7 linked regions of the Tribolium castaneum genome follow. The protein of the gene in region 5 purifies or fractionates together with the protein of the main gene of each other region. This does not show direct contact. Links are inferred from orthologs where the notes say so. Each region holds a gene or a part of one and is shown on either strand. Other genes may lie near its edges. The genes, in order: Raf, Cortactin, Cdk1, mitogen-activated protein kinase kinase kinase 7, Cdc37, uncharacterized protein LOC100142127 and dnt.

What was found.
Region 1: the proteins of Cdc37 (region 5) and Raf purify together in Homo sapiens (affinity purification with mass spectrometry; 5 studies listed by BioGRID and IntAct, with this or other methods). This does not show direct contact. The link is inferred for Tribolium castaneum from reciprocal best matches to the Homo sapiens genes CDC37 and BRAF.
Region 2: the proteins of Cdc37 (region 5) and Cortactin purify together in Homo sapiens (affinity purification with mass spectrometry; 3 studies listed by BioGRID and IntAct, with this or other methods). This does not show direct contact. The link is inferred for Tribolium castaneum from reciprocal best matches to the Homo sapiens genes CDC37 and CTTN.
Region 3: the proteins of Cdc37 (region 5) and Cdk1 purify together in Homo sapiens (affinity purification with western blotting; 3 studies listed by BioGRID and IntAct, with this or other methods). This does not show direct contact. The link is inferred for Tribolium castaneum from reciprocal best matches to the Homo sapiens genes CDC37 and CDK1.
Region 4: the proteins of Cdc37 (region 5) and mitogen-activated protein kinase kinase kinase 7 purify together in Homo sapiens (affinity purification with mass spectrometry; 6 studies listed by BioGRID and IntAct, with this or other methods). This does not show direct contact. The link is inferred for Tribolium castaneum from reciprocal best matches to the Homo sapiens genes CDC37 and MAP3K7.
Region 6: the proteins of Cdc37 (region 5) and uncharacterized protein LOC100142127 purify together in Homo sapiens (affinity purification with mass spectrometry; 3 studies listed by BioGRID and IntAct, with this or other methods). This does not show direct contact. The link is inferred for Tribolium castaneum from reciprocal best matches to the Homo sapiens genes CDC37 and EIF2AK1.
Region 7: the proteins of Cdc37 (region 5) and dnt purify together in Homo sapiens (affinity purification with mass spectrometry; 3 studies listed by BioGRID and IntAct, with this or other methods). This does not show direct contact. The link is inferred for Tribolium castaneum from reciprocal best matches to the Homo sapiens genes CDC37 and RYK.

What each region holds. Positions count from the first base shown.
Region 1 is NC_087400.1:7,671,134-7,675,433, reverse strand, and holds the end of Raf (raf homolog serine/threonine-protein kinase Raf), read right to left. Parts: intron 1,788-4,300; coding exon 462-1,787; 3' UTR 322-461; downstream 1-321. UniProt on the Homo sapiens protein: Protein kinase involved in the transduction of mitogenic signals from the cell membrane to the nucleus. Phosphorylates MAP2K1, and thereby activates the MAP kinase signal transduction pathway. Phosphorylates PFKFB2.
Region 2 is NC_087400.1:1,549,369-1,553,667, reverse strand, and holds the start of Cortactin (src substrate cortactin), read left to right. Parts: upstream 1-1,499; 5' UTR 1,500-1,670; coding exon 1,671-1,834; intron 1,835-1,883; coding exon 1,884-2,127; intron 2,128-4,299. Other genes in the region: tRNA (guanine(37)-N1)-methyltransferase, read right to left, coding at 1-1,154.
Region 3 is NC_087401.1:17,534,739-17,537,617, reverse strand, and holds Cdk1 (cyclin-dependent kinase 1), read left to right. Parts: upstream 1-1,126; 5' UTR 1,127-1,334; coding exon 1,335-2,008; intron 2,009-2,065; coding exon 2,066-2,312; 3' UTR 2,313-2,379; downstream 2,380-2,879. Other genes in the region: CCT6 (T-complex protein 1 subunit zeta), read left to right, coding at 502-653, 704-919; transmembrane protein 53, read right to left, coding at 2,630-2,791, 2,840-2,879. UniProt on the Homo sapiens protein: Plays a key role in the control of the eukaryotic cell cycle by modulating the centrosome cycle as well as mitotic onset; promotes G2-M transition via association with multiple interphase cyclins.
Region 4 is NC_087399.1:3,650,872-3,655,033, reverse strand, and holds the start of mitogen-activated protein kinase kinase kinase 7, read right to left. Parts: upstream 2,801-4,162; 5' UTR 2,668-2,800; coding exon 2,587-2,667; intron 2,543-2,586; coding exon 2,243-2,542; intron 2,197-2,242; coding exon 1,765-2,196; intron 1,717-1,764; coding exon 1,489-1,716; intron 1,406-1,488; coding exon 1,330-1,405; intron 1-1,329. Other genes in the region: putative ankyrin repeat protein RF_0381, read left to right, coding at 2,843-3,458, 3,503-3,891; prohormone-2, read right to left, coding at 4,074-4,162. UniProt on the Homo sapiens protein: Serine/threonine kinase which acts as an essential component of the MAP kinase signal transduction pathway. Plays an important role in the cascades of cellular responses evoked by changes in the environment.
Region 5 is NC_087398.1:2,272,961-2,276,213, reverse strand, and holds Cdc37 (hsp90 co-chaperone Cdc37), read right to left. Parts: upstream 2,002-3,253; 5' UTR 1,875-2,001; coding exon 1,842-1,874; intron 1,795-1,841; coding exon 1,504-1,794; intron 1,457-1,503; coding exon 1,178-1,456; intron 1,103-1,177; coding exon 614-1,102; 3' UTR 501-613; downstream 1-500. Other genes in the region: Spase25 (signal peptidase complex subunit 2), read right to left, coding at 1-56, 149-184; queuosine 5'-phosphate N-glycosylase/hydrolase, read right to left, coding at 2,311-3,207. UniProt on the Homo sapiens protein: Co-chaperone that binds to numerous kinases and promotes their interaction with the Hsp90 complex, resulting in stabilization and promotion of their activity. Inhibits HSP90AA1 ATPase activity.
Region 6 is NC_087398.1:655,671-659,943, reverse strand, and holds uncharacterized protein LOC100142127, read right to left. Parts: upstream 2,801-4,273; 5' UTR 2,670-2,800; intron 2,602-2,669; 5' UTR 2,565-2,601; coding exon 1,460-2,564; intron 1,399-1,459; coding exon 1,193-1,398; intron 717-1,192; coding exon 387-716; 3' UTR 4-386; downstream 1-3. Other genes in the region: RtGEF (rho guanine nucleotide exchange factor 7), read left to right, coding at 3,208-3,270, 3,320-3,627, 3,691-3,909, 4,024-4,273. UniProt on the Homo sapiens protein: Metabolic-stress sensing protein kinase that phosphorylates the alpha subunit of eukaryotic translation initiation factor 2 (EIF2S1/eIF-2-alpha) in response to various stress conditions.
Region 7 is NC_087403.1:6,651,320-6,655,550, forward strand, and holds the start of dnt (tyrosine-protein kinase Drl), read left to right. Parts: upstream 1-1,431; 5' UTR 1,432-1,800; coding exon 1,801-1,906; intron 1,907-1,959; coding exon 1,960-2,087; intron 2,088-2,136; coding exon 2,137-2,690; intron 2,691-2,735; coding exon 2,736-3,164; intron 3,165-3,214; coding exon 3,215-3,511; intron 3,512-3,555; coding exon 3,556-3,667; 3' UTR 3,668-4,184; intron 4,185-4,231. Other genes in the region: apolipoprotein D, read left to right, coding at 409-656, 701-885, 938-1,197. UniProt on the Homo sapiens protein: May be a coreceptor along with FZD8 of Wnt proteins, such as WNT1, WNT3, WNT3A and WNT5A. Involved in neuron differentiation, axon guidance, corpus callosum establishment and neurite outgrowth.

The sequences.
Region 1 (4,300 bases), on a different chromosome or scaffold from region 5:
ATTTACTGTTGCGACAAACATTATTCAACATGTTTTTAATGGGGAGACAGGAAATAATCCAAATAAGAAAAAACAATCACTACAGTTTTATGAACTTATTTAATTTGAAACTTAAATTCTGTACCCTGGTCCAAAACCAGGAATACGAAATAAAATTGAATCGAAAATTTTATCAGTTTTTTTTCGGATTTCAACAAAAAGTTTCCAAAGTCTTGACTTTTCAGTCCAGTCAAAGGTTGGAACACTGAATTTGGAAAGCAAAGATAGATTTTCAGAATCTTCGAATTTCGTAGGATGGGATGGAAATAAGTAAACGCAGTATATTTTTTTAAGAATTTATTTAATACGAAAACAAAACAATATTTAAATTTAAATACTTGACAATAACTTAATGATAACCTCTACTCAAGCCGTATCACGCACTCTCACTCGTCCTAAACGTCCCTCTTGGCGCCCTCCCCTCAGATATTACCCGTTCCTCCCGAATAAAAAAAACTCGACGGTCCGAACGCCACCGGTGTTTTCGGACTAGCACACGGATAAATAAAATCATCAGACTGGATCTGCGTCCGATTCATGTTCGGTTCGGACGCCGATCTGTTAATTTTCGGATGACTCCTCAAAAGTCCCTCCAACGAGGCATGAATCTGCCTGAAAAGCGGTCTCTCGTCCCGATTGAACTTGATACAGTCTTCAGTGAGTCGTCTTAAAGCTTTGGGTGTGTCGGAGCGTAGTTTACTCATGTCTGGTTTGAGGTACCCCCTCCCCACCATGAACAGGATTTGGTCCTTGTTGTTGATGTGGGAGTAGGGCAATTGCATTGCCAACATCTCGAACATAACGATCCCGAACGCGTAAACGTCCGACTGGAAGCTGTACGGGTTGTCCTCCTGCATCCGGATCACTTCTGGCGCCATCCAGAGGATGCTCCCCGTCGGCTGGTGGAACTGCTTGGAGCCCGACCAACGGATCTTGGCCGTGGCTAAGCCGAAATCGCCGATTTTGACGGTTAGGTCATCGTGTAGGAAAATATTATTCGATTTGAGATCTCGATGGATGATATTTTTCGCATGGAGGTAGTCCATTCCTTGTGCCGTTTGTCTCCCGATTTCGATCAAAGTAAAAAGCGCGAATTTCGTCTCGTGCACGTGGAGATGCTTGTACAAGCTCGAACTCTCGCACCATTGCGTCACGATCGCCAACTGCGGCTTACTAACACACCCCATGAACAATAAAATGTTCACGTGTCGCGTTTTGCGCAGTACTGCCACCTCGTTCTTGAAGGCTTGCAGTTGTGCCAACGTTGGTATTTTAACGTTGAGCGTCTTGACAGCGACCGGGCCGTGCCAATGGGCCTTGTAGACCGTGCCGAAGGAGCCCGAGCCGACCCGATGGCCGACGAGGATCTCGTCGGCGGGGATCTCCCAATCCTCGATGCTCTCGCGAGGGGCGAGGAGGGGCTTGCTCTCGTCGGCGGAGCGAGCACGGGGTCGGCGCGGCTGGAGGGAGCCGGTGGGCGAGGCCTGGGTGCTGTGGTAGTGGGGGAGGCCGTCGTCGATGCCGCCCCGGGTCAGACTGAGGGACTTGGGGCAGTCGTCGCCGGGGCCCTTCACGTTGTTGAGGCAGACGTTGGGGGCGGAGCTGGAGCGGTCGTGGTGGCCGAGGGTGCCAGGGTGGCGCGGCTGGCGGGAGAGCCCCAGGCCGGCCTGACCTGGGTGCAGGATGCCCGCGCTGAAGTCCGGAGAGCGGGCGAGGAGCGCCCGGTAGTAGGCGTCCGTCATACGAACCTGGGGAAGCGAGATATTTTTGGTTCGACGTCAAAACGCAAGGGATGGGAGAAAATGCAGCAAATCATTCCGAAAAGCAAAATTTTGCATTCCATTTCTTTATTTTACTTTGGATAATGCCACAGACTAGTCCACGTTTATTTAGTAAATTCGGCAATCATCCAACTTCCGATAAATATTTCCAAAACAAAAAAAGTCCAGGGAGAATCAGGAATTTTGCGAGATTCAAATAGTGAATGTTACGACACTTTCAAAAATAACTCCACATTGTTTAATTGCGTAGGAAAAAACTTCTAAATTAAGCCAAATTCAAAAAAATTACAAAAACCTAGTCAGGGATTTTGTAAAGGACGAATTCCGAAAAAGCGAACAATTTTTCAAAAAAATTAAAGAGAAATTCAAACTTCCAAAGACGTAAAGTAAAAAGAAAACACTAGAAGTTAAAACAAACAAAAATTGTATTGAGAAGAATCTCCAAAAAATGCGAATATTCTCGTCATACAAATCCAAATGTAACATTTGGAACATTTTGGAAAACAATAAAACACAATGCATTTTCTTATCTAAAGTTTATTGCATGATTTTCATGTATTTGAAACATTCCATGGCTTTATCACCACCGATTGATATCTAAATTGATGCCGATATTAACTTTGAATTTATTTTATAAAAAATAAAGAAAATGCGTAATTTATTATTGTTTAACTTAGATTTATTAATACAGGGTGCTCAAAAACTGGCGCACCAACTCAGTGGTACGTTATTGAGAAGCAAGTGCAGATTACGGGAAAAATGTTGAAAAAATTGCTAAAGTTATATTTTAAAAAATCTGGAGCTACAAACTTATTGTGTTAACTTCTTTAGTTTTCATTATTTTTTTATGTTTTTATGTTTCACACCAGGTAATCGTTCCGTAACAAAACGATGAATAATTATTTTAAAATTTACTATAAGATTTTAGCAGTTTTTTTAATTTAAAAAAATTAAATTTCATCCAAAAAATCACAATCTGTAGATGTGCCAACACTGGGAATTATTTCCTAGGAAACCGTTTCAAAAATAATTTATTTTTATTGCGATCATGACTGTTAGACAACGTTGCCACATATCATTTACCTAAAATTAGTTATTTATCAATAACTTTAATACAAAGAATTTTTTTACTACTTTTACCTTTATATGTAACCACTTATCTACCACACACCATTGAGTTGGTGCGCCAGTTTTTGAGCACGCTGTATATTTTCAAATATGCCTGACTGAAGAGAGAGAGAGAAAAAACAAGGATGAATTACAAGAAAATACAAAGAAAAGTCCAGTAGGAAGAATAGAAATAACCAATGAAATTTCCCAAAGAATTTCATGTCACGAAAGTGTTTTATTTTGTTTCAACTTTTCCAATTTTTTTTACCGTGTTTTCTTTTTTTTTCTGTCACATTAAAATGAAGTAAACACACTTTTTTATTTTCATATTGCATAGCTACATACCAATCTAGAGTAAATTTAACTCGGATTTATAATCTCGTGCTGCCAATTAGGAAAATTTTAATGAATCAAATTAATACAGCTTTCAGTTTTTTGAATTTTTGCACATTAAAATGCAGAAATGAAATAAAGACACTTTTTATGTCAATACTGCATAGCTACATAACAATCTAGAGTAAATTTAACTCAGATTTATAAACTCGTGCTGCTAATTAGGAACATTTTAATGAATCAAATTAATACAGCTTTCAGTTTGATATTTTTTCCATCAACATGTGCAACTAGAACATTCAACTAAGTATGTTACGTATTTTTGAAAATGTCATACAAATTACTAAAACAACAGTAGATTTGCGATTATTATTTGTCGTCGTTACCTTTTGCAATACGAGAAGTATTTTCTCGCGACGTTATTTTAATCATTTTGCGAATGTTCGTAAACAAACTGGATCGTTGAATTCACAGCAATTTGCAGTAATTAGTCAACCGACACCTATGCGCTCTGGCTTTATTCATGCTCAAATAAACACGGCTACGATGAATCTTATGCCTTTTCAATCCAGCTGTTTACCGTTTTTAATAAAACAAACTAATTTCTTGATTCGCCAGATTTATGCGCTTCACTTATAGTGCGTTAATAATAACAACTTTTAAAAGTTAATAAGGATATTTAAGCTAGTGTTGAAAAACTTCCATTGCAATCTTGTAAAAGACGATTACTTAAAGCAAAATATACAGCTGGAATATAAATCATAACTTTGATTTAAGGCGATTTTGGTAAAAATTCCCGAAGCAGGTCAATTTTTATGTTTCCTTGCCTACTATTTGATGCATATGGTTTTTGTTTATCTGCTGTCAGAAATGCACAGCCACCTCTAACTTCTTGTTCAAATGTTAATGGTATGCCAAGTGACACCTCGTATGAAAGCCTTTTTCGCAAGCAATACAACGCACTATTTCTTTTTTAAATTTTTTCAAAGCATACGTGATAAAAAATAAAAACCAATTTTATAAGTTGAACATTATTT
Region 2 (4,299 bases), on a different chromosome or scaffold from region 5:
AGCGAGCTGACGGTGCGCACACGAAACACATCGGTAATTTTTTCTTCAACATTCCGACCGATTTTTTCACAAAGTGATTTTTTGGCAATGTTTATGAAATCCTCGCCTTTGGCAAAGCAATAAACTACGACAACTGGGTGTTTCCCAAATTCTGGTAACTCATCATTTGAGAATAAATCAACAAAAGTTGTTAAAAAATCAACGGCCAGTGCCGGAAGATTCATCAGAATAAAAACATTTTTGGCCGAAAATTTCGGCAACAACTCCTTAACCTCGCCCAAGATAAACTCCCGCCCGTCCTTATTATAACTCTTAAAGTAATTTTCCCCAACTTTGTTTATTTTAAAGTTGTGATTTAGCCATTTAAAGGACTCGGGATTGAGATCATTGGCAAAAACCTGGCACTTTTTCCTAGCCAAAGGCACGGAAAACGGCCCAACCCCCGCGAAAACATCAAACACAACATCACCACTCTCTATCATATTGACAATTCTTTCGTGTTCAGTGCAGAGTCTAGAATTCCAGTACACTTTCGCAAAATCAAACTCAAACACACATTTATTTTCCCTAACGTGCGTTTGCGTGTCGTTTTCGCCCCTTAAAACCTCCATCTGGAAATTCCGATACGTGTTATCAATACTCCCCACTTTATTGACCACAGTCCGACAATTGGGCACTTTATCAAACAACACTTGCCCAATTATGTCTTTAAACGGAACGAGGTGTTCGCGCAGGTTAACGTGCACAATGTGCCCCACTTTAGTAAAACTCGACATCCCCTCGACATTCGGGGGAAGCACGGCGCGAAAAACGCCCTCAATCGAAAAATTCTCGTAGTTTAAAGTCAACGGCTTTAATTCGAGTTGCACGCACAGGTCGTTTAGCAATTTTTGCGTTTCTGGCGGCAAGTCACTAAAAGCCCCTATTATTTCCGGGTTGAAGTAAACGTGGGATTCCCCCGTGGTTACGTTACAAACCGGCTTAAAATTCTCAATTTTTAACAAGTAATTTTTCACGAATGGCAAGACTGATGAGATTTTCACGTTCTTAAGGATGAGACACGGGACGGTTATGTTTTTCTTGAACAAATTCTTGTCCAAAGTTGTTAACCCAGCTACTTGAGCTGGTGGTTTGAGGTTAGGGACAGTTGTCATGCTTTTGGAGCCACGAAAGTCGATTAAAGTGGATTTAACGAAGGGATTGTGGCCCTAATTACGCGAAAGTAGCACCAGTTGTGGGAATCGCAGGCGTTTAGAGGGGACGGTTTTGTGGAACATTTAAATCAAACGCACGTTTTTGGAGGTTACTTACGTTTTGACAAGTGGAGTAGGTCAATTGACCCGATTTTTTAACCAACCGTTTGAATTATTATCATTGAAAAAAAGCAAATTGTTGTGTACTGTTACAAACAACCGAATGATACATTTTTTAGGGAAATGAAGTGGTTCCAGTGCCTATATAATTATTGATTAATTGATAAAATTAGTTTGGTAGTTTGAAAGTGTCGTAAATTTCGGTTAAACGTCCCGAAGTTGTCTGTGTCACTGGGGGCCGGGTGTTGCCTTTGTTGATAACAGTTATCACAAAATTGCCACAATTCTAATTACTTAGTTTTTTCGTTCCGTTTGTGTTGCCTAATTGGTGTTTTTTTTGAAAACTTAACCTAAAAAATGTGGAAAGCGGCGGCAGGTCAGCAAATTAATTTAAACGACCAGCCCACCGAGGATGACGAGTGGGAGACAGACCCGGATTTCGTCAATGACGTGAATGAGCAGGAGCAGCGATGGGGCTCTGCCACCATTGCGGGGTCTGGGAGGACAGCTGGGGCTATAGAGTAATGGGGTTTTTGGTTTTGGTTCGCTTGTCTCATGTGTTTGCCTTAGTATGAGTCAGTTGAGGAAGGAGACGGAGGAGGCGGACGCGCTGAAGAAGAAGAAACAGTTGGAGGAAGGGGCCAGTAATCCCGCTTTTGGGTACGGGGGCAAGTTCGGGATTGAGAAAGACAGGATGGATCAGTCGGCCGTGGGGCATGAGTATGTCGCGAAAGTCGAGAAACATGCCTCACAGAAGGACTACAGTGCGGGCTTTGGGGGCAAGTTCGGGATACAGGCCGATAGGGTAGATAAGGTTAGTCTGATTGGTTTTTATTTGTCAAGTTTAGTCACAAATGTACAAGTAGCAATATTTTTTTGCTTTTCACACGCTGATAAGGACAATCGTGCTCTTATCTCAAATTACGAAAACAATCTTACGCTGAATTATGATCATGATCACAGTTTAATTATTCAATTAATTCAATTATTGAATTATTTGTTTACAATTGTTTCGTATTTATTTTGTCGCGTTATTATTATTATTAGTTATTTAAAATTTTAAGAAAAATGCTATAAGGTCAAGCATTGTTATCGAGAACGAGCATTTAAACAACTAGATTTTTTACAAATAAATAAATAAATAAATATAAAGAAAATGCAACGTTTTGAAACAGCTTGTAGTAATGATTGCGAAATTTAAGGCCAGCCTACGGATATCTAAAACTAAGGATGAAACGACGTACAAATAAAAAGTCCCGTCCTCTATAGTTCCGTTAATGTCGCCAGAGGCGCACTTGTTCCATTACCGTCTGTTTTCAGAGCAATCAATTTATAAAAATTGTTGTAATTAAATAACGGTTAGCACAAGTTGAATAAAAAAAATACAGGCAGATAGAGCATCAAATTCTCAATAATCGGAGATGAAAATAGTGCAAAAATTATATCTTAAACTATATTTAAAAAAATTTCAAAGTTTTACCAATTTGCACTCTGCCCCATATTTTTCAAAACGCTGCGAATACGGTTACAGATACAAGAAAAATGTTCAGAGGAAAGTTGTAGAGAATTAAATTTCCTTTAAAAAAGTCCGCGAGACCATATCCTTATCTTCAACCATTTAGGCCCCAAAGTCATTCAAAGACGCTCAAGTGTCGGATTTCCTCCATTTTGCCGGTGGTCAAGTATTGGAAAATTAATTTATACCTAAACCGTTGAAGATAGACATATCGTGTCGCGGACTTTTTTGTAGAGAATTTAATTCTCTACAACCTCGCCTCTTTCACTTTTTTGTATCTTCAACCGTATTCGCTGCGTTTGCCAAAAAAAACGCAATAATTCTAAGCGATAATTTTTTGGGCACCGTCGCCTATTTATTAAAACGCTGCGAATACGGTTGAAGATACAACAAAAGTGTAAGGAACAAAGTTGTAGAGAATTAAATTTGCTACAAAAAAGTCCGTGACACCATATTTCTATCTTCACCGGTTTGGGTATAAATTCACTTTTCCATACTTGACCACCAGCAAAATCAGTCGCTTAAGCATCTTTGAACGTTTTTAGGGCCTAAACCGTTGAAGATAAAGATATGGTCTCGCTGACTTTTTTTCAGGAAATTTAATTCTCTACAAATTTGTTCTAAACATTTTTCTTGTATCTTTAACCGTATTCGCAGCGTTTTGAAAAATACGGAAAGTCACAAAAAAAGGTAAAAACACCCGGTATCCAGATAAAATCTGGTGAAAAATTTGAAAATTAAATTGAAAAAAAGTGGAAGAAAATGTTTTCTCAAAGCTAATTCGCCGACTTTTGAACTGAATGTATTTGCGTTTTACGTGAATTATTGCAATTATATAGTTTGTAATGTTGATTTATTTAAAAAGTTTGTGTTAAAATATCTACAAAACACGGTCAGTACCTGGGGCCCGGTGGCCCAGTGGTATAAGCGCCACTTACGACGGTGGAGGTCGCGGGTTCGAACCCGGATCACGGCAACAATTTTTCTATGAAAAAAAAGTGTAGAAAAGGTAAGGAAACAAAACGTGAGCAAAAATAAGAGATTGAGAGAACACATGGACGTATAAACGTAAAGCGGAGCAAAAAACTGACAGAAATAAGAAAATAATGCGGCAAAAGGCATGACGTACAGCACGGTGATTTGAAAATGTCATGCCAATAAACCCCGGCTGAGGGATCGGTAGGTACTTAGACCGCAACCATCTGTGGCAATAAATCATTTCGTCGTGAACTTCCAAACACGAAATAATTTTACTTTTCAACTGCTTAAAATTTGATTTGACTTTATAATGATTTTAGTAATTGAAGTCACCGCTATTTTTAATTCCAATTTCAATTGCCATTTAATTCGCATTGTGAAACAAAATTAATTTTGAATTTTAAATTTGATTGCCTCTAAAGGCATATTTGAGAATAGTGCAAATAAATTATAAATTAATTAATTACAATCAAACATCTGATTAACTGATCA
Region 3 (2,879 bases), on a different chromosome or scaffold from region 5:
CGAAATTAACAAAATATCTAGTTGCTTAATGGATGACGTCACAGTCATTTTGTGACGCGTCTTAAAAATGTGCGTTACTAGGCTTTGAAATTGTAAATAGGGGTCAATGACCTGACCTGGCCACACAATTGTTAATTTATTAGACTCACAATGCGTTTTCCGTTTAAAATAGAGCTCAAAAATTGAATTTACGAGTTGCTTCAACTACTCCCATCACCAAAAACCCAACTTCGGTACTTACTTGTCAATGTTGAAAATCGCCGTTTAGATCAACACATCGGAACACTGAAAGTCTTTGAACACTTTTGCACAAACATTTGCACGAAATAACCGATTTAACAGCGATTTTTCCCGAATTTACTAAGCGGTAAGCGGCCATCACGAAATTTGATGCACCGCCAATTGTTTCGCTACCAACCGTACCAATAAAATCACTAAATGTCATAGCGCTTAATTCAAATTGATTTTGCACACAAAACAGTTTTTTGTGATATTTTTCAGGCGCAGGGGCTTTTGAGGTGACCGCCCACAAAGAATTGATGGCTTACAAGGACACCGTTAAAGGAAAATCGCGTCTTGGAATTGGTGCTTACGCGGAAGCCCTTCTTGTAATTCCCAAAGTTTTGGCAACGAATTCTGGTTTCGATGCTCAGGTTTGTGTGATTTTCTCATTGATTGTTTTATAGTTATTTGTTGTTCTTAGGATACTATTGTAAAACTTCAAGAAGAATCTCGTAACAATAAGGAACCAATTGGGCTTGATTTAGCTTCAGGACAACCGATTAATCCGAAAGATGCCGGAATTTTCGATAATTACATCGTGAAGAAACAAATAATTAATTCGTGTTCGGTGATTGCAAGCAATTTATTGTTGGTTGATGAAATAATGAGAGCCGGAATGAGCAGTTTGAAAGGTTAAATGGATTTTTTTTGTCAGTAATTTTATTCACGTATTAATGCTTGATTTTGTAATTATTATACAACAATAATAAAGGATTTTAACACCCATTTTTTGGCCAAAGCTATTATTTGGCGATCGTATAGTAATTTTGTGTGTCTGAAGTTGGTAATGTGTGTCTATTTACGCCAAAAAAAAGACAGGTTATTGTGATTGACGTGAGTGCGATAGAGACGGGGATAATTGTACCCGATTGGTTGGTTCAAAAATCTCCAACGAACTTTCTCCATATTTCTTCAAACGAGCCGTTAAAAGTGTGTAAAAATTAACAAAACTCGTGTGCTTTGAATAAAATATCGTGTTTGTGGTCGTGTAGGCATTGCAATTTGACGTTATAAACGTCATTTTAAGTGGAAAGTTTGGTTATATTGGGGCAATGTCGAAACAGGGGGCCAACATGGATGACTTCCTCAAGATCGAAAAAATTGGTGAAGGCACTTACGGTGTGGTGTACAAGGGCAAAAACAAGAAGACGGGTCAGCTAGTCGCAATGAAAAAAATCCGACTGCAACCCGAAGACGAAGGTGTGCCTTCCACAGCCATTCGCGAAATCTCCCTCCTGAAGGAGCTCACACACCCCAATATAGTCTCCCTGGAAGACGTGATGATGGAAGAGAATCGTCTTTACCTAATTTTTGAATTTTTGTCAATGGACTTAAAGAAGTACCTCGACACCATCCCACAGGGCTCCTACATGGACCCCCAACTCGTCAAAAGCTACCTCTACCAAATCAACGAAGCCATTCTCTTCTGCCACCAAAGACGAGTCCTTCATCGCGACCTTAAGCCCCAAAATCTGCTCATCAACTCCGAAGGGGCTATCAAAGTGGCCGATTTTGGACTAGGGCGCGCCTTTGGGGTCCCGGTTCGCGTTTACACGCACGAAGTTGTCACTTTGTGGTACCGCGCCCCCGAGGTGCTCCTCGGCTCTGCACGTTACTCGTGCCCTATTGATATTTGGTCTCTGGGCTGCATTTTCGCCGAAATGGCCAACAAAAAAGCCCTTTTCCAAGGCGACTCCGAAATCGACCAACTTTTCCGCATTTTTCGGTAATCAAATCATGTAACTATAGAAACGAAAACAACTTGCATTTTTTTTCGATTCAGGGTTTTGAAAACACCAAGCGACGAAATCTGGCCAGGGGTGTCCACATTACCTGAATATAAGGTTACGTTCCCTAATTGGAAATCATGTACTTTGGAAAGTCAGGTAAAAAATATGACTAGCGACGCTATAGATTTGTTGAAACAAATGCTGATTTATGACCCGGCCAAGAGGATTTCGGCCAAAAAAATCGCTTTACATCCGTATTTGCAAAAGGTTGATACGTCAATAAAGCCGATCCTTAAATAAGCGGTTAGGTTTAGGTTTATCGTGTTTAGTATGACTATTTTCTAAATATATTTGTTTAAAAAATCTTTTGTGTTTGAAAACCTCCTTAATACATCATGCACGAGCTGCACGTGTATATTGCTATGGTGATGCGTCAATGTAGCTATGGTAACAGTGAAAGGAAATGCGGGACAGTGGCGCAACATAAAGCAGATCATTTGGGAACATAGTTTTAATGAAACAATTGAAATAAATACATTTTGTGCAATTCAACAACGTCTAGAAAAATAAATTGTACCCTAAAGTTTAATTAAGCGTTGAAATGTTTTTTGTGTGAATTAATTTGTGCCATTTAGGCATTTATTTAAAAAATTGCATACGCTACTCACGTAACTTTCTTTATTTTCGGTGTAGTGTTTAACATGAGGACTTGTTTCGTAACAGAGAGTTGTTACATCGATACCCAGAGATTTTCGATAGTTGGCGAAATATTCAATATCCTTGAAAAAAAAAAAAAGATGATTGGCTACAATAGTTAAGATGGTTACCGTATAAGGAATAAGAATGTCTTTTTTCGAGTAGATAAAA
Region 4 (4,162 bases), on a different chromosome or scaffold from region 5:
GTCATCGATTATTAGGTCGGAAAGGTCGGAAAATGCAACAATAAAACCATCATGCTTGTGACAACAGAACCGGGAAACATTCACACAAAGGGTTGAAAATTTTTTAATTACAACTACGGTCTGCCGCCATCGTCCAGGTGTCCGTTCGCCACGAATGCACTTCCGGACGTGCGATTTCCATGCCATTACATCACAAACTCGATTAATTACACATCCGTCCTTTCAAAAATAAAAACGTGACTAAGAAGATTGTGGCCGAATTTATTTTAGTCCTTCCCCGGCTACTTTACGTAAAAATAATCCATCAAAACAATTACTATTTACCGTTATCAGTCTTGCACTCTTTGAAAATGATCCAACTTCGGTGGCTCTCATGCGTGGTGAAAACGCTGGCTCTCGGACAGTCACACATATCGCACGAAAAAAATCAAGGAAAAATCTCAAACGGTACGAAACATGATGAGATTTCGGACAGGATCGATAGGAACGTGTCGATTGTTTATGTTCGGGGGCCACTCGAAAAACTACGCGAGACTACCAGCCGCTGGAAAGAAACTGGCAACGGCCGCATGGGTGCGACTGAAATAGCGATACGGGGAAGACGCCAGGGACAGAGCAAGGCGCTGCCAGCGACGGACTGCCCAAAACTTTCGTCCCAACGTTTTTTGAAAAATATGGGGCAAAAGTTTGATTTTTTTTAAATATAGTTTACAACAAAAATTTTGCACCATGTCCTACAACCATGAATAAGTGCGCTCTCTGGCGACGAGAACGTTTTATTCGTCCATCGTTTCGCATCCTAACTTTTAGTCGTCCGTAGTCCCAAGCCAAAATTTGGAATTGTTTCTGCGGAAATGGCCTTAGGCAAGGCCTCAAAGCGCGTAAAACCTGCAAATAGCCGCCTTTTCCGCATTTCGGAGGCCGGTGGTGAATTGGGGCCAGGCCGTCCCTGGCAGGCCGATCAAGAAACTTCCAACTAAACAAACTACTCTAAATCGGTCTCGCTGAGTCAGCGCGTCTAAAAACAGATGCCCCTTCGTTTCGCACGTATTTAGGAGGAGGAACCGGAATTTCGGCCAAATCGAGCTTAAAGCGCCGGACCTGCACGACTTTAAGGTCGCAAAGCGATAAAAATACCGCGACGAAGCCGTGCAGACAAGTCGACTCGGCTTTGATCTTATTTTTATTGGTCCGTGTGTGACTAACACTGCGACAAATAAAAATTATAGCCCCTCGAGTGTTTTCAAGAATTGCAAGTTGTTGAGTCATGCACTAAGCCAATGCTCTCGGCTAAATTTACAACGAGCCCACAAGAACAACACAACCTACCGTTTTTTGGTACCATCTTATCAAGGCCGGGCATGGTTCTCAGCTGCATGTCGAGATCGTGTAAATCCCATGCGTCCTGCAACAAACGACTCAATTAATCAATTTTACTCATTTTCTATTAAAAGACAATTACGTCATGCGACGTAAAAACCGACTTACAGGGCTTATTTTAATGTTGAGGGGCCGCGACATCTCGGCACTCGGCTGGGGCAGCGATTTGACACAATTATCGCCGTTGGTGCTGGCGGGGAACTGGTCTATTTCCTCCACACAGTCCTCAAACTCTTCGATTTCCTCCTTGTAAACCACATCGTCACCGCCCCTGATCTGCAACGGCTCGTCGGCGCCCGGAAGCAACGAGCAAATAACTTCCATTTTTTTCACAATCTGGAAGCCAAACTTTGACTTTCCCCACTCAAAAAATAGTGCACTCACCTCCTTCATGCTCGGCCGCTTGGCCGCCTCCTGATCCCAGCACTGTGTCATCAGTTTTTCGATGACTGGGGGGCAGTGCCTGATGAGAGGGGGCCTCCGGCCGCTGTGCTTCGCCCACAAGATCATGAAAGCCGAAGGGTAGCCCGACTCCTTAATGTGGAAAAAAGGCTTAAGTCGCGATAACACCTCCCAGAGGATTATGCCCCAGCTGAAGACGTCGCACTTTTCCGTATAGTTTGACGTTTCAAAGACCTCGGGGGCCATCCACGCGGCCGAGCCTTTGTTGTTGGTCATGATTGCTGTCATGTCTGTGGCAGTACCAAAGTCGCATATCTTTAGCAAGGTGCCCCCGTTTATCAGGAGCAAGTTGGGCGGTTTGAGGTCTCTGTGTATCAAAGGTTTGGGTTTCATGCCATGGAGATACTCGACCCCCTGGAAAACCGAGTTAAGAGTGTGTCGGTGCGGCTTCGCCCCTTACTTTGGCGCACTGGTAGAGCCAGGACATGGCGTTGGCCATCGTGTAGTGTACGTTAGGTGCGTGGTGTAGAATATTGAAGAGGGAGCCCCCTTCGGCGTACTCCATCACAAGGCAGATGTTGGGGCCCTTGGTGCAGGCCCCGTACAGCTTGACAATGTTCTCATGCTTGACCCTTGACAGCTGCCGGACTTCCACAATAAAGGCGTCTTTGTCGTTCTCAGAGACGATGTTTTTGACCGCCACGAACGCATCGCGCCAGATTCCCTTGTAAACGACTCCAAAGCTGCCCTCACCGACTGCCTGAAACCACAATGTGTCGGTGGCCACAACCAGGGCTACTTTACCTCAAGCTTCTGAATTTCATTGTAGTTGATTTCCTCGACGGTGTACTGACATACGCTACCCTCATTTTCCGAAGACGCCATCGAAATACCGAAGTAATCACATATTTGGCCACAGAGCGTCCAGACAGCCCCAAAATTACGAAAAATCTCGATAAATATCAACCACCATAAATTTGGTTATGTATCCTTCAGATCAAGTGTCACCTTCGGCTCGAAAATCCCCAGCCGTGTTCAAAACTCGGCGCGAGTGTCAATCATGTCGAGCGAACGGGATTTACACAAACGGGGGCACCAGGGCTTCAAGAAGCGAGTCGAGAGTGACGTGATGAGCAGTGTGGGCAAGAAAGTCCTAGAGAAGAAATTCTTCGTTGCCGTTTACTCCCGGAACATTCCTGAGATAACAAAGTGTTTGAGTAAAGGAGTAAACCCGAACATTCGCTCCACGGAGTACGGTGTCACCCCTTTGCATTTACTCGCCGAACGGAACGACTACATCCTGGGGTACCGCCTTTTGGAGTATAAAAAATTTGACGTGGATGTGCGGAACGCCCACGGTTACACTGCCCTGCATGTTACCTGCTTATGCGACTGCAAAAAATTTGCCCTTCTTTTGCTGGAACACGGAGCCGACCCCAATATTTACGGCCGGTTTAATAAAACAGCCCTGCATTTATCCGTACAGAATGAGAATTACGGTATTACGATAAAGTTGCTAAAATTCGGGGCTGAGGTCAATGTTGTTGACTGCTTTGGCAATACGCCCCTCTCTTTGAGCATCCTAGACACCAATAATTACCTAATTGCCAAAACCTTGTTCCAAAGTGGGGCCAATATGAGCGTCGAGCACCAAAGACCACTCCATATTTTTTTTGGTACTTGATCATCCAAACGAAAAAAGTATTATTAAAATTTGCAGAAATGGTGTTGTATTGCCGCTGCATTCGTCAGATTGATTTGGTGCTGCTCTTGTTGGAGAACGGGGTTAATATTAATATGAGGGAGCCCGACTCAGGGCGCAATTGTCTCCACTTTGTTGCGGTGACCGGTTTTCTGGAACTGGCGGTGGTTTTGGTCGAAAAGGGGGCTAAAATCCACGTTGTGGATAGCTGTAAGCGCAGCCCCATTAAAGTGGCTGTGGACCACGGTAACGAAGTGATCGCCGATTACTTCCGCAAGGGCTACAGACCCCCGCCTTTGCTCACCGCCCTCCCGAAGATCTTCCAGTGGTCTAGCAAGGTCCGGGCGCGAATCAGCGAGCGGAAGCTGGCGGAGATGGAGAAAGAGGCCGAATTGAAACAAAAATAAACAGATCATTATGCACAATTTATTAATATTACGGAATACAACATTCAATAAATATATTGTAAATATTATACTGACTGACTTTTTGAGAGTTAAAACATATAAACATCAATAAACTAGTAACACAGATAGACTTTAAACGATTCAAAAACGCGATATGAGCTCGGGTTTAGTCTAAAAACTTATTACAAAACTAGCCGATGGTAAAGGGGAACATTAGGCTCGCGTTGATTGCTCAAGAGTTGGCTCAGCGTGTAGTAGTCGTTCTTGTTGG
Region 5 (3,253 bases):
GCATCGTCTATGGCATTTTTCACAGCTGAACCGTCCCATTTATTTATTTTAACAGGCTGCAACAATAGGTTATGAAGCCAAATTTACAATTTTTTCCGTATTTAAATAACAAGCGTGCAAATTACGTGTTCATTCATTTAAACTGTACCTTATCATCCTTTTCTTTGCTTTCTTTTGGGGCCATAATCTTAACTGACTGGTTAAATTTTCAATTTTTTATGTGGTGTTGTCGTGTCTTGTTGTTGCGACACGTCAAGTGATGCGTCAGAACACGAAATATGGGAAACGCGAAAATACACCAACATCGGTGAACAAAAGTAACTACGCTTTTTCAAAAGAACGGGTTTTACCAAATATTTTTTTTAAATAACGTTGATTGTTATATCTGCCACTGAAACTGTAAATTCGTTTGGCTATTATTTTTTTCAAGTGGATGATTAATTTAAGTCAGTGAGAGAAAATGCGGGAATTGGGATGGGTATAAGAAAGTTTACGTCAAGTTTATAAAGTAAAGAAATTTATTAATCTTCAAGCATTCCTAATAAATTAATACAATAAATTTGCATTCTTAGGAAATAAAGGCTAAATAACAAAAATTGTAAAGCAAGTGACTTTAGGGTTTTGACTGCTCATCAGAAGGCCCAGCTTCTTCTTCTTCCTTCTTTTTGGCATCAGGTATCCAAAGACCCGCAGCAACACACCTCTTCATGTGATAGTTGGCCTCTTCTTCATCCATTTCCTTGATTGTGTCTTGCAACATTTGGATGTCTTGCGTCTCGAAACATTTTCGTAAATTCTCGGGAAGACTTTCCAAGACTTCAAGCTGATCTAACCCTCCTGGCCCTATCCTCGCTTTCCTCTCCTCCTCCTCTGCTTCTTTTATGGCCTCTTCAATCTTCTCAGCTGCGCGTCGTCTGATCCTCTCCTTAAACTGGTCTAATTCATCGTCAAACGATTTTTTGTAAAGAGGATCAGCTATTTGGATTTTGGAGAAAAAGGGGTCCACGCAGCCGCGAGGGTCGTAGTCTAATTGTTTGGCTAGTTCTAGGATGTACTGCATGCAGATGGTCTGGTGCGCCACGTGCTCCATAAGGTCATGTTTCTAATTAAAAGAACAATACATAATTTACCCCAACAACTCAGTGTTGCCAATATACATTTTTTGCCACAATCTTACCTCTTCCATTTCTAAATTGATGCACCAGATGACGAGGTAATTAGCTGTGTCTTCGCAAACCAATTCAAGGTGGTCCCTGAGAAAAGCCCGAGAGTCTTCATAACGTCGCAACATTCCAAAGTGCTTCAAATTCTTCTCGTTTTCTTTTACAAAATTTTTCATGCGACTTTCCTTCTCTTCATCCGTTAATTGTTCGTCCTTCGGTCTCGGAGCTTTCTTATTAATAACAGTCTTTGCAAAACCTGGCTGACTAATTGTGTCCACATTCCACGGGGCCATCTGTAAATCACTAAATAAACATTAGAAGAACTAACATTCGTACAAACTTTTTCTTTCTTCTCGTGTTCTTCCTGTTTCTTCTTAATCGCTTCCATTTCCTTCTCCAGCGCGGCCAGAGCGTCCTTAAGTTCCCTCAAATTCGCATCTCCGGCCTTCTCGGCTTCCGCCAGCTTCTGCTTGGCTTGCGAGACCTTCTTAGCATTTTCCTCCCTCTTTATCTGGATTTCTTCCGCTTCTTTCTTCATTTCTTCCATGCGCTCAACTCTGGCCTGGTGCCTCCACCGGAAAAGTGAAGGGGTGTCAATATTTGGATGCGTCTCATCCTCATCGTCGGAAATCTGCAAAGCACCACCTAACCTCATTTTTTCCTCCCAGACTTCACTACCTCAATATTCTTCCACTTGCTGTAATCGACCATGACGCCAATGCGAATTTTGATTCCTCCAAGAAAATACAACAATAAAACACTTGCACTTTTGAAATAAACAACAAACGTCACTTTGCTGCTCCTCCGCCCTCTGGCTGGCTTTCGCGAAACGTCGGCAGAGGATCATGGGTAGGGAGACGAGGGCAAATAAAATTCCAGAATATTCTTTCAATCATAATCTAATACTTTAACTTTAAAAACATTGACACGATTAATCTTAAAAATTACTGATATGAAATAAAACATGACAGCATAGTTGGCAATGAAAAAGTACGGTTCGGTTTGTAACAATTGTAACCATGACTACCACCAAAATGCCATATCAAAGTTTCATGGCCAACCGCTCCCTGAAATTTTCGATTAATTACTAATAAATTAGCACATTGATTCGGTCAACTCCAATTTTAACTTGATATTGTCGTTCGATTTAGTAATAAATGGAGAACGTTTTGTGGAACGGCAACTTCTTCTCCACGATTTCCTTGTTATGTTCGCGTCTGAAGTCCCACAAGAAGTGATCGATCAAAATGGCATTGATTTTCGTATCAGTTAGTTTTTTATTGGCATGTTCTTTTAGCAGCTCGACCGCATGGATGGAGCAAGCTCTGATCTCCACTTCGTCCTCTTCCCCGTTTTCGAGAATTTTGTTGTCTTGCAGTTTCTTCTTCAAATCTTCGCTGTACTCAAACACCCCGAAATATAGGAGAGATTGTGGGATTCTATAATCCGCAAACATTGTTATTTCATCGATATCTTTAAAGTGCCCAAGTCCTTCGTTCTTGAAACAGGCCCAAATGTCGCCAATTAAAATCTGCGCCCGCTTGTAAATCGCAATTTTCTTGTCTTTGTAAGTCGCTTCGTCCTTGAAGCACTTGAAATTGTTGACGATTAGGTCCAGAAGGGCCACAGCGCTCTTGTCAGCCTTTTTCACGCAATTTTCAAACGAACCGTCGAAAGTTTCAAGAAGGACGTTCCCAACTTCGTGCAAGCATTTGACGCGTTCCTGGAGGAGTGGAATTGGGACATCGTTGTCGCTTCTGAATATTTTCGCAAGGTCTTTTTCGGACACTTCAGAGTAGTATTTCGAGTTCAAAATATCCACTTTTTCCTTCACGGCTCGATTAATAGCCGCACAAAGGGCAAAATAACCAGTGTAGCCCTCCACAGTCCAGCCAGCTTCGGTTTCTAAGTGCCAGAAGCAAAAATTCAGAGTGTCCACGACAAATAACCAGTCAAGGGCTTTGGGATCGTCGGATTTTGGGTGCAGTTTCACTTGACTGAACTTCTCACTGGACAATTTCCCGCTTTCGATCTCGCTAACCAACTGGAGATAACAGTTAAAATGTGCCTTTTTTCGCCTGATACGCACG
Region 6 (4,273 bases), about 1.6 Mb from region 5:
TGCAACTTTTTAAAAAATATTTATTTCAAATTTTCGTATCACAATTTTCGATTTATACATGAAAACGCTTCATGTTCATCAGTCATGGAAATGTACAATAAATAATTCAAAAATTGTACAAAACACACTCCAATCACTCTACTCTCTTACGCCACACAATTAAAACTAGTTATTGACGACTCAGAAAATTCGTAAATGCACAGTAAAATGGCAGTAAAACGTGCATTTTAGCCACCAAGCAACCCAATCTGGCTAACCATAATTAAGTAAGAAAATACTGATTAACTCATTCCAGAACATCAGAGTCTTTCACCACATGACAATGGTGCAAAAAACTTAAAATAATCCTCTATTATTATAAAACAAGTTTATTTGCCATTCCTTAATTAGATACTTTTAACACCTGCAGATTTGAGTAGTTCTTTGAGTCTTAAAATTTCTTCGTCTCGTTCCGCTAGCTTACACTCTAATTCTCTCACATAATCGGCGTCAGAATTATGAGTTATTGATTTGAGCAACGTACTAGCGTCCGGTCTATCTTGTGGGTATTTTACCATCAACTGGCAAATTATTTGAGCCAATTGTGGATGTTGGACGTGGACGTGTGTCAGCAATTTGCCTTTCCTTAAGTCATCAATGTACTGGACCCGCTCCATGTCGGTGCGGAACCGCTCGACTAGCTCGAATAGGACGATTCCCAGGGAATACATATCACTCTAAAAAACGCCATTATTTAAAAAACATAATCGAAAAATTGAAAACTTAAAATTTAGTACAGAGCGTAAGAACAAGAGAAAAATAAAATAACAAACATTCTTAAGATAATAGAAAACATAAGACTCAAAGTTATGAAGAAAGTGAAAAGAATCAAAATTTCCTTCAAACAGTTGGCTATCTTTAACGGTAAAGTTTTTATTTTTGTATTTTTCGACCATACTGTCTTGAAAAATATCAAGTTCATCTGTGTTTCAAGTGTTACGATTGTTTAAATCACAGTCGCCATAAAAATAAGCCCCCCGATACTCGTAGTTTACTGACCAATAAAAATTTCAAGACTTATTTAAGAGGATAAGATAAAACCGTGAATCAGCAAACACTTTATTTTGTTTGTTCTCACGTAATCTATTACGCATTAATTATTTTAAACACTTGTTGCCTTGTTTACCCCAACAAAACCAATATTTGCCCTTACCTTTGGATCACATTTACCATCAAGTTGTTCAGGCGCCGCGTAAAGTTTCGTACCAAACGCCAAACTATGCCTCACATTCTGCAAAGGACACGCCAAACCAAAATCACCCAACTGTACCAACAAATTGCCGTTTTCAATCTGAATGAAAATATTGCTCGGCTTAATATCGTGATGAACGATTCCCTTGGAATGAATATATTCCAACCCTAGACAAGACACGATTGTAATTCACACAATTGTAATTGTAATCACATTACTCAACGTTACCTTTAAGTAACTGCCTCAAAACCTCGTAAATCGTCTCGTTTCTCACATGCCCTGTGACGGGAAGTAGGGCTTTATCAGCGTCTTCGACCAACAATTCGGCGTCATTTCGCCTCTCTAGCCACTGTTTCAGAGTGGATTGACATAGGGCCATTTGTATGTAAAGAGTGGCCCATTTCACGTTGGCCCTTTGCTGCATTTTCAACTCCCTTATTTCCTTCAAGTCCAACTTACAAATGGCTTTCCCGCCCTCCGAAACACTGTTCCGTTTGACACGTTTTCGCGAGTTTTTCGACCGGTTTGTAACGCTACTAATGCTATGCTCGAAGTTAACTTCAAAATCGGACGTATCCTCTGATTTAACCTCGTCGGAAAACGAGTGTCTTGGCGTTTCGTGATAGATGTATTCGGCGTCAATGTGCGATTTCATTTCTTCAGTATATGATTCGGTTTCGTCCGTAATTGCATTACCCCCAGTGGGGGCCCCCAGCTCAAGCCAGGCCGCTTTGTACTGTACGATATTGGCATGGTTAACACTAGCGAAGGTTTTCACCTCCGATAGATAGTTCCGGACGGCTTCGATCCCCTCAGCTCTGATTGGAATTTTCTTAACTGCGTATTCAGTCCCGTCTAGTTTGTGTTTGACGCGGTAAACCTGGCCAAAGCCGCCCCCAGCTATGTACTCAATCTCGTCAAATTCTTGACAATAGTGCGAATTTATCAAGTCAGTGTTTGGCCAAACTGGGCGCAAAGTCACGGCGTTTTCGCCCCCCATTGAAGTTTTCAACAAGTGGTGGAAGGCCTGTTGGTAGGCCGCCCGCATGCCTTCAAACTCATCCATGTGGTAGCTTTCATCAATCAGATTCATTTGGAACAGGCGGTTGCAGATCAGATTGTACATTTTTGAGACTTTTTCCGCGTCCGTTTCGTAGATGGTGCACAGATTCTTGACCAAGCTCTCGATCAGGATGCTGATGGGGGTTGAGACACTTGGCCGTTTCGTTACAAGCTTTAAGGAGGTTTTGGGTTTAGTTTCGTGGTTTTCCATCGATTTGGCCCCGTTATTTCCACTGTCAACGTCCGATTCTGACATACCAGATTTTGCCATCTTGCACGGAATCTTCCAGAATGTCACTCACAAACACCTTAAATTTACAAAAAATTAAGCGGAATTTAGGCAAAATGTTACACAAACGAGTGATTTTGAACATACATAACCAGCAGACAAGTCACAACTTGTAACACACAACAAAAACCTTCGAGGTGAAATTACGACATGTCCATCTGTTCGATGACAGTTGCACAGTGAATTTTGGTAGTTTTTGTTGGCCGACTGGCGCCCGCCTGCATTACCGACCGAATTTGACAGGAAAACAGACGGTTTTTTGGGTTTTGTAAATTTATCTTCTGTGAATTTTTATTGGGGGCAATAAAAACGGGTGTGCGAGTCGAGAGTGGGCTATAGACAGGTAATAATAACGCTCAAAATCGAAACTTTCGAATTTGTTATTAGTTAGAATTGTGTGTCTGTGTGGGCATTTCCTGTCCTGTCGCCTATCATTGGGGCTAAAATCGTTGCGTTTTACATTTTTGGCCGCGTTCCAGAATTATCTTCAAAGCTAAGTGTATGCCAAGAATGTGACAGTACTCAAAAATTATTTTTCATCATGACCAGTTTTGCGGCACCGTTTAATCGCGTCAGTGATCCATAAAAATACAATTACTGATTTAGGTACACATGTGAGACCACGATGGCCACTGAACCGCTGGTAGTCCAGGCCATTTATCCGTTCAAAGGATCGAATAACGATGAGGTAAGTTAGAATTTTCCCTAGTCCAGGTGTGTGAGCACAGTGGTTTTAGTTGTGCTTCAAGAAGGGCGACCTGATCACAGTCACCCAGAAGGACGACGGGTGGTGGGAAGGCACCTTCAACGGGAAAACAGGCTGGTTCCCCAGCAATTACGTCAAGGAATCCAAAGGTTACAACACGCGAAAATTAATCAATTGTTGCGAATTTTTTATTTTAGATGCCCCAAAGCCGGTGGTTGTGCAACAAAATCAGTACAAAAGCGTGGTTTTGAAAGACTTGATCGATTCGGAGAAGGCGCACGTCACCGAACTTGAAAGTTTAGTCACGAACTTTTTACAACCGCTGGAAAAAAGCGCCATGTAATTATAATCAGCGGAAATCGATATTTATGGAACGTAAAAATACAAGACAGCTGTTTGCAGATTGACCAATGATGAGTACAAACAGTTGACTGGGAATATCGCTGAAGTCCTTGATACGCATCAGCAGTTGTTGAAGCTGATGGAGGCGGAACAGGCCAAGCCGGGCCTGGAACAGAGAGTGGGGCGCCTTTTTCTCACATGGGCCCGCAGGATTAAGGCTGTTAATCAGGCCTATTGTGCCCACCATCCCAAAGCCGCCTGCATCCTAGATCAGTACAAGTAAGAGTAACGATTGATTCTAAATATATAAACTCAAAAAATTTAATAAAATGGGTTGTTTCTGGATATCGTCTCATAGTCATTAAATTCGAAAAAAATGTTTTTTGTCCTTAGAGAGGAGTTGACAAAGTACATGGAATCTCGAGGCGCCACCAGCCCGGGCGTCCTTGTCTTGACAGTCCTCCTCAGTAAGCCCTTCCGTCGTCTTGATAAATACTCGGGCATGCTTCAAGAACTTGAACGTCATGTCGAAGAATGCCATCCTGACCGAGGTGATACCCAACGCTCAGTCGCCGTCTACAAAGACATCGCCACAACTTGTGCTGCAACACGTCGCCAAAAAGAACTCGAACTCCAAGTACTA
Region 7 (4,231 bases), on a different chromosome or scaffold from region 5:
AACTGTACATACGTGCCCAGAGCAGGTGTGTGGGTAGGTACAGAGTACCTGTGTACTTCTTGTTTACATTAGAAAATGATGCCCGCGTCCGTTGCGTATACGAAGGTTCAGAAGGCCAACCTAGGACATTGACTTTTTGCAGTTTTAAGTAACGTTAAGGTACTCCCTATTACGCGTCCCAAATTCGAAATAAACGCCACCAATTGCCATGTGCAAAAACCATCAATGAAATACTCCCTTGTCAAATTTTTACTAGTCTGTTCATGATCACACGTTTCATGCCAGATTTTTTAATGATTGAGGTGATACTATAGGTTCGAGGAACGCAATGGGTTGAGTCAAATAGCGGTTTATAGCAAAGTTATATAAACCAGAGGTAAAAGCACCACGGTGTAAAACATTGTAGACATGAAGACAGTACACATTATTTTATTCGTTTGCTTCGTTGCGGCCGCAAGAGCCCAAATTCCCAATTTGGGCTTCTGTCCAGACTACCTCCCAATGCCAGATTTCGACATAGAGAGGTTTCTAGGAAAATGGTACGAAGCCGAACGATATTTCCAATTTTCCGAAGTCGCCACCCGATGTGTCGTCACAGATTATGCAAAAGCACCCAGTGGACGAATCTACGTCTCCAACGAAGTCACCAACAGATTGTGAGTATTTTCCCCAAATACCAAAAAATAATAACAACTTGCAGAACGGGCGTAAAGCGCGTCATTGACGGAAGCCTAGAACTCAGCGGTAAAGCAGGGGAGGGAAAACTAAACGTCAAGTACTCAACAACCCCCATCGCGAGCGAAACCGCCCTCACAGTTCTAGACACAGATTACGACTCTTACGCCGTTATTTGGAGCTGTAGCGGCTTTGGCCCTATTCATGCCCGTAAGTCCGACTCAGCCAAAATCTTTATAATTACTAACAAAAATGGCTTCAGAAAGCGCTTGGGTCATGACTCGGGAGCGGCTCCCTTCAGGCGTTGTCCTGCAACAAGCCTACGGAGTCCTAGACAAATTCAAAATCAGCAGAACTTTCTTCGTTAAAACCGACCAAGAAGGTTGCGCTATCGCAGCGTCTGACATTAATGCCGCTAATGGCATTACCGCAACCTCCACAATCGCCGAAGCCACAGGTTCCGAACAGAAAAACGCAAATAAGCCCGAAGAAGAAAATCAGCCAGTGGAGGTCCAAAACTAAACTTAAAACCAATATTTATGTTAATATTTATGATAATTTTTATATTTTAAATAAATTAATCAAACCCTACTAGTTTGTTTCATTTCAAATGGTAAAATAGCGCCAAATTGGGAAAACGGCGCACGCAGGCCGCAGTTTATTGATTGTAATACACCTAAAACGCGTGCGCTTTGAAGTTAACGTTTTGGCGGCGATTTAAAAGCGCTACAATCAAATATTGTAATTAATTTTATTCGCCACTGCGTATTATTAGGGCAAAAACTATAAAAGTGTCAGAGGTAACTGTTAAATTTAAACACAGCACAGTTGAGTTATTTCCGTGCTTCGGTTACATTCGTGCTGTGGACAAAAGAGTCGTTTCGTTTCGGTGGAAGAAATAAGAGATTCGTTGAATGTGGTGAGTGGTCGGAATGTGGCTGCTGCGAACACAGACCGAAGACTCGAAGAGGGCAAGCAGTGTGGGCGTTGTTTTGGCTAAAAATGAAAGAATCATTAATTAAACTGACTGCAGTGTGATGTGCAATGTGAACTGTCCACAACCTTTCGAAAAGATCGATCTCACTCGTTTATTTACAAAATGTGACTGAGAGTAATACTATCAATATGAATCAAAATTTCTTGTCCGGGTTTATTATTTTATTGACGTCGCAATTGGTTTTTGGCTATTTAAACTTGTACCTTAGCTTAGCCGAGGTTCAAAGACTCTTAGGTAAGTTAGCTAGGTCTTATCTTCTTGCATGTTTACACAAACAATTTGTTTAGGGCTGGAAGCGGAGCTCTATTATGTTAGAGATGGCAACATAAACAACTATGCGTTAAATTTCGTAATGCCGGTGCCGTCCAGTTTAAATTCCTTGCATTTCACTTGGGAAAGTCTGGCGGATCGACCAGTACGTATGTTTGTGGCTATCTTTGGTCATTAGTTTGATTCGTTTCCAGCTATTGTACACGATAAAGGTTGACACTTCCGACTCCCAAATATTGCTTCCGCCTCAGTTGAATATCACATCTAGAGGTTCCGTTCCCACTACACTCCAGACTTTTAGCCTGTCCCTGCTATGTTCAGGGGCGGCAACGGGGGAAGTAAATGTCACCATAACAATTAGCGTTACTATAACACCTTCGAACGTAACAACACTCATGTTCAGAAGGAAGAAAATATGTACGAAGTTTGAAATGCAAACGAACCACGTCTTGGTCCACACAGTGCCAACATATTCGAACTCAACGAGTATTTTTTACACGGCTATTGTCTCGGCTTTAATTCTGATAATTATTCTTGCTTCGGTGACTGCAGCGTATTATGTGAAAAATAAAAAAACGAGAGACACCACTAGTGCTAGTACCGGGCCCACGACGACTTTCCTCACCACAGGCCCACGAAATACCGTTAACACGTCCTATAGCAGCTTCCGGCGAATGCCTAGCTACTCGCTCATTGATGAACGATCCAAGGATTTGCAGGAAAGGATAACGGAATTGACTGTGCAAAGGTAACCGGTCACAAATCATTAACTCGTCCAAACAATGTTTTGTAGATGCAGAGTCCGCCTAAGCAATGTAATAATGGAAGGGACTTTTGCCCGGGTGTACCAAGGATCATACACCAACGAAGAGGGGGTTGATGAGCCCGTGATAGTTAAGACAGTGACCGACCACGCCAGCCAGATCCAGATATCACTCTTGCTCCAAGAGGGAATGTCGATGTATTCACTTAACCATAAGAACATCCTTAGCATACTCAGGGTGTCGATTGAGGACCACACAGCACCGTTTTTGCTTTATGCTTACAATAACTACAGCAACTTGAAGATATTCCTCCAGAAATGCAAACTATCGCCGGAGGGAGTCTCCCACACTCTGACCACTCAAGAAGTGGTGGACATGGCGTTACAAATAATCCAAGCAATGCAGTATCTGCACAAGAAAAATCTCCTGCACAAAGATTTAGCCACGCGGAACTGCATGTGAGTATCATCACACCGCCCAAGCTTTTGTTTTCATTCGTTGTTTGTAGTGTTGACGATAAACTCAACGTACAAGTGGCCGACAATGCCCTGTCCAGAGACCTGTTCCCGTCTGATTATCACTGTCTGGGCGATAACGAAAATCGCCCGATTAAGTGGATGGCGATTGAAAGCCTGGTCCATAAGACATTTTCGTTCAGTTCCGACGTCTGGTCGTTTGGGGTGCTTTTATGGGAGTTAACAACACTTGCCCAACAGCCATACGTCGAGATCGACCCTTTCGAGATCGTAGCCTACCTCAAAGACGGGTACAGACTAGCACAACCGATAAATTGCCCCGATGAACTGTAAGTATGGCCACTTTTTGGGGCAAGTTTTACGTTTTACGTAGGTTTGCAGTCATGGCGTACTGCTGGGCAATGAGTGCAGAAGAGCGCCCAACCTTCACGCAGCTGCATATATGTCTGCAAGACTTCTACACACAGTTAACCAGATACGTGTAGATGGTGCCAATTGGTGTGAATTTACGTGATGTACCCTAATCGATATAAATGTATATAAGAGATGTGTACCTTGTGAAAAATATATGACTGGATTTTTGTATTATTAAATATAATCTCTTTTCGTAAATGGAAAGTTTTATTCGTGGAATTGTTCCCACCCTCAGGCACGACTAGCCTGATTTGTTTCTGATGAGTTTACGGTTACTTTGGCCAATTCGCAGCAAGATCAGATGGGACATAGTTTTATGTAATTATAACACTCACGGTAAAATAAAGGAAACTAATTATGCAATTATAAATCAAGAAACACTTTTTTTTTCACCTTGAGACTGGATGAAGGAGACCAACATCTCAACATTATTAAATTCTTGACTATTTACTCTGAATTGTCACGACAAATGTCTTCACGCAATTTGTAGTTTCAGTCTTCTTGAAGAAACAAAGTGATTCACATGTGCAGTAATGGATTGCAAGGTGTTGTTATGGCTGGTACAAATTTACGTCCAAGTAAACGTGTGTAAGTGACACTGTTTCCTTAATTGCTTATAATCGAGTTTCCGTTCG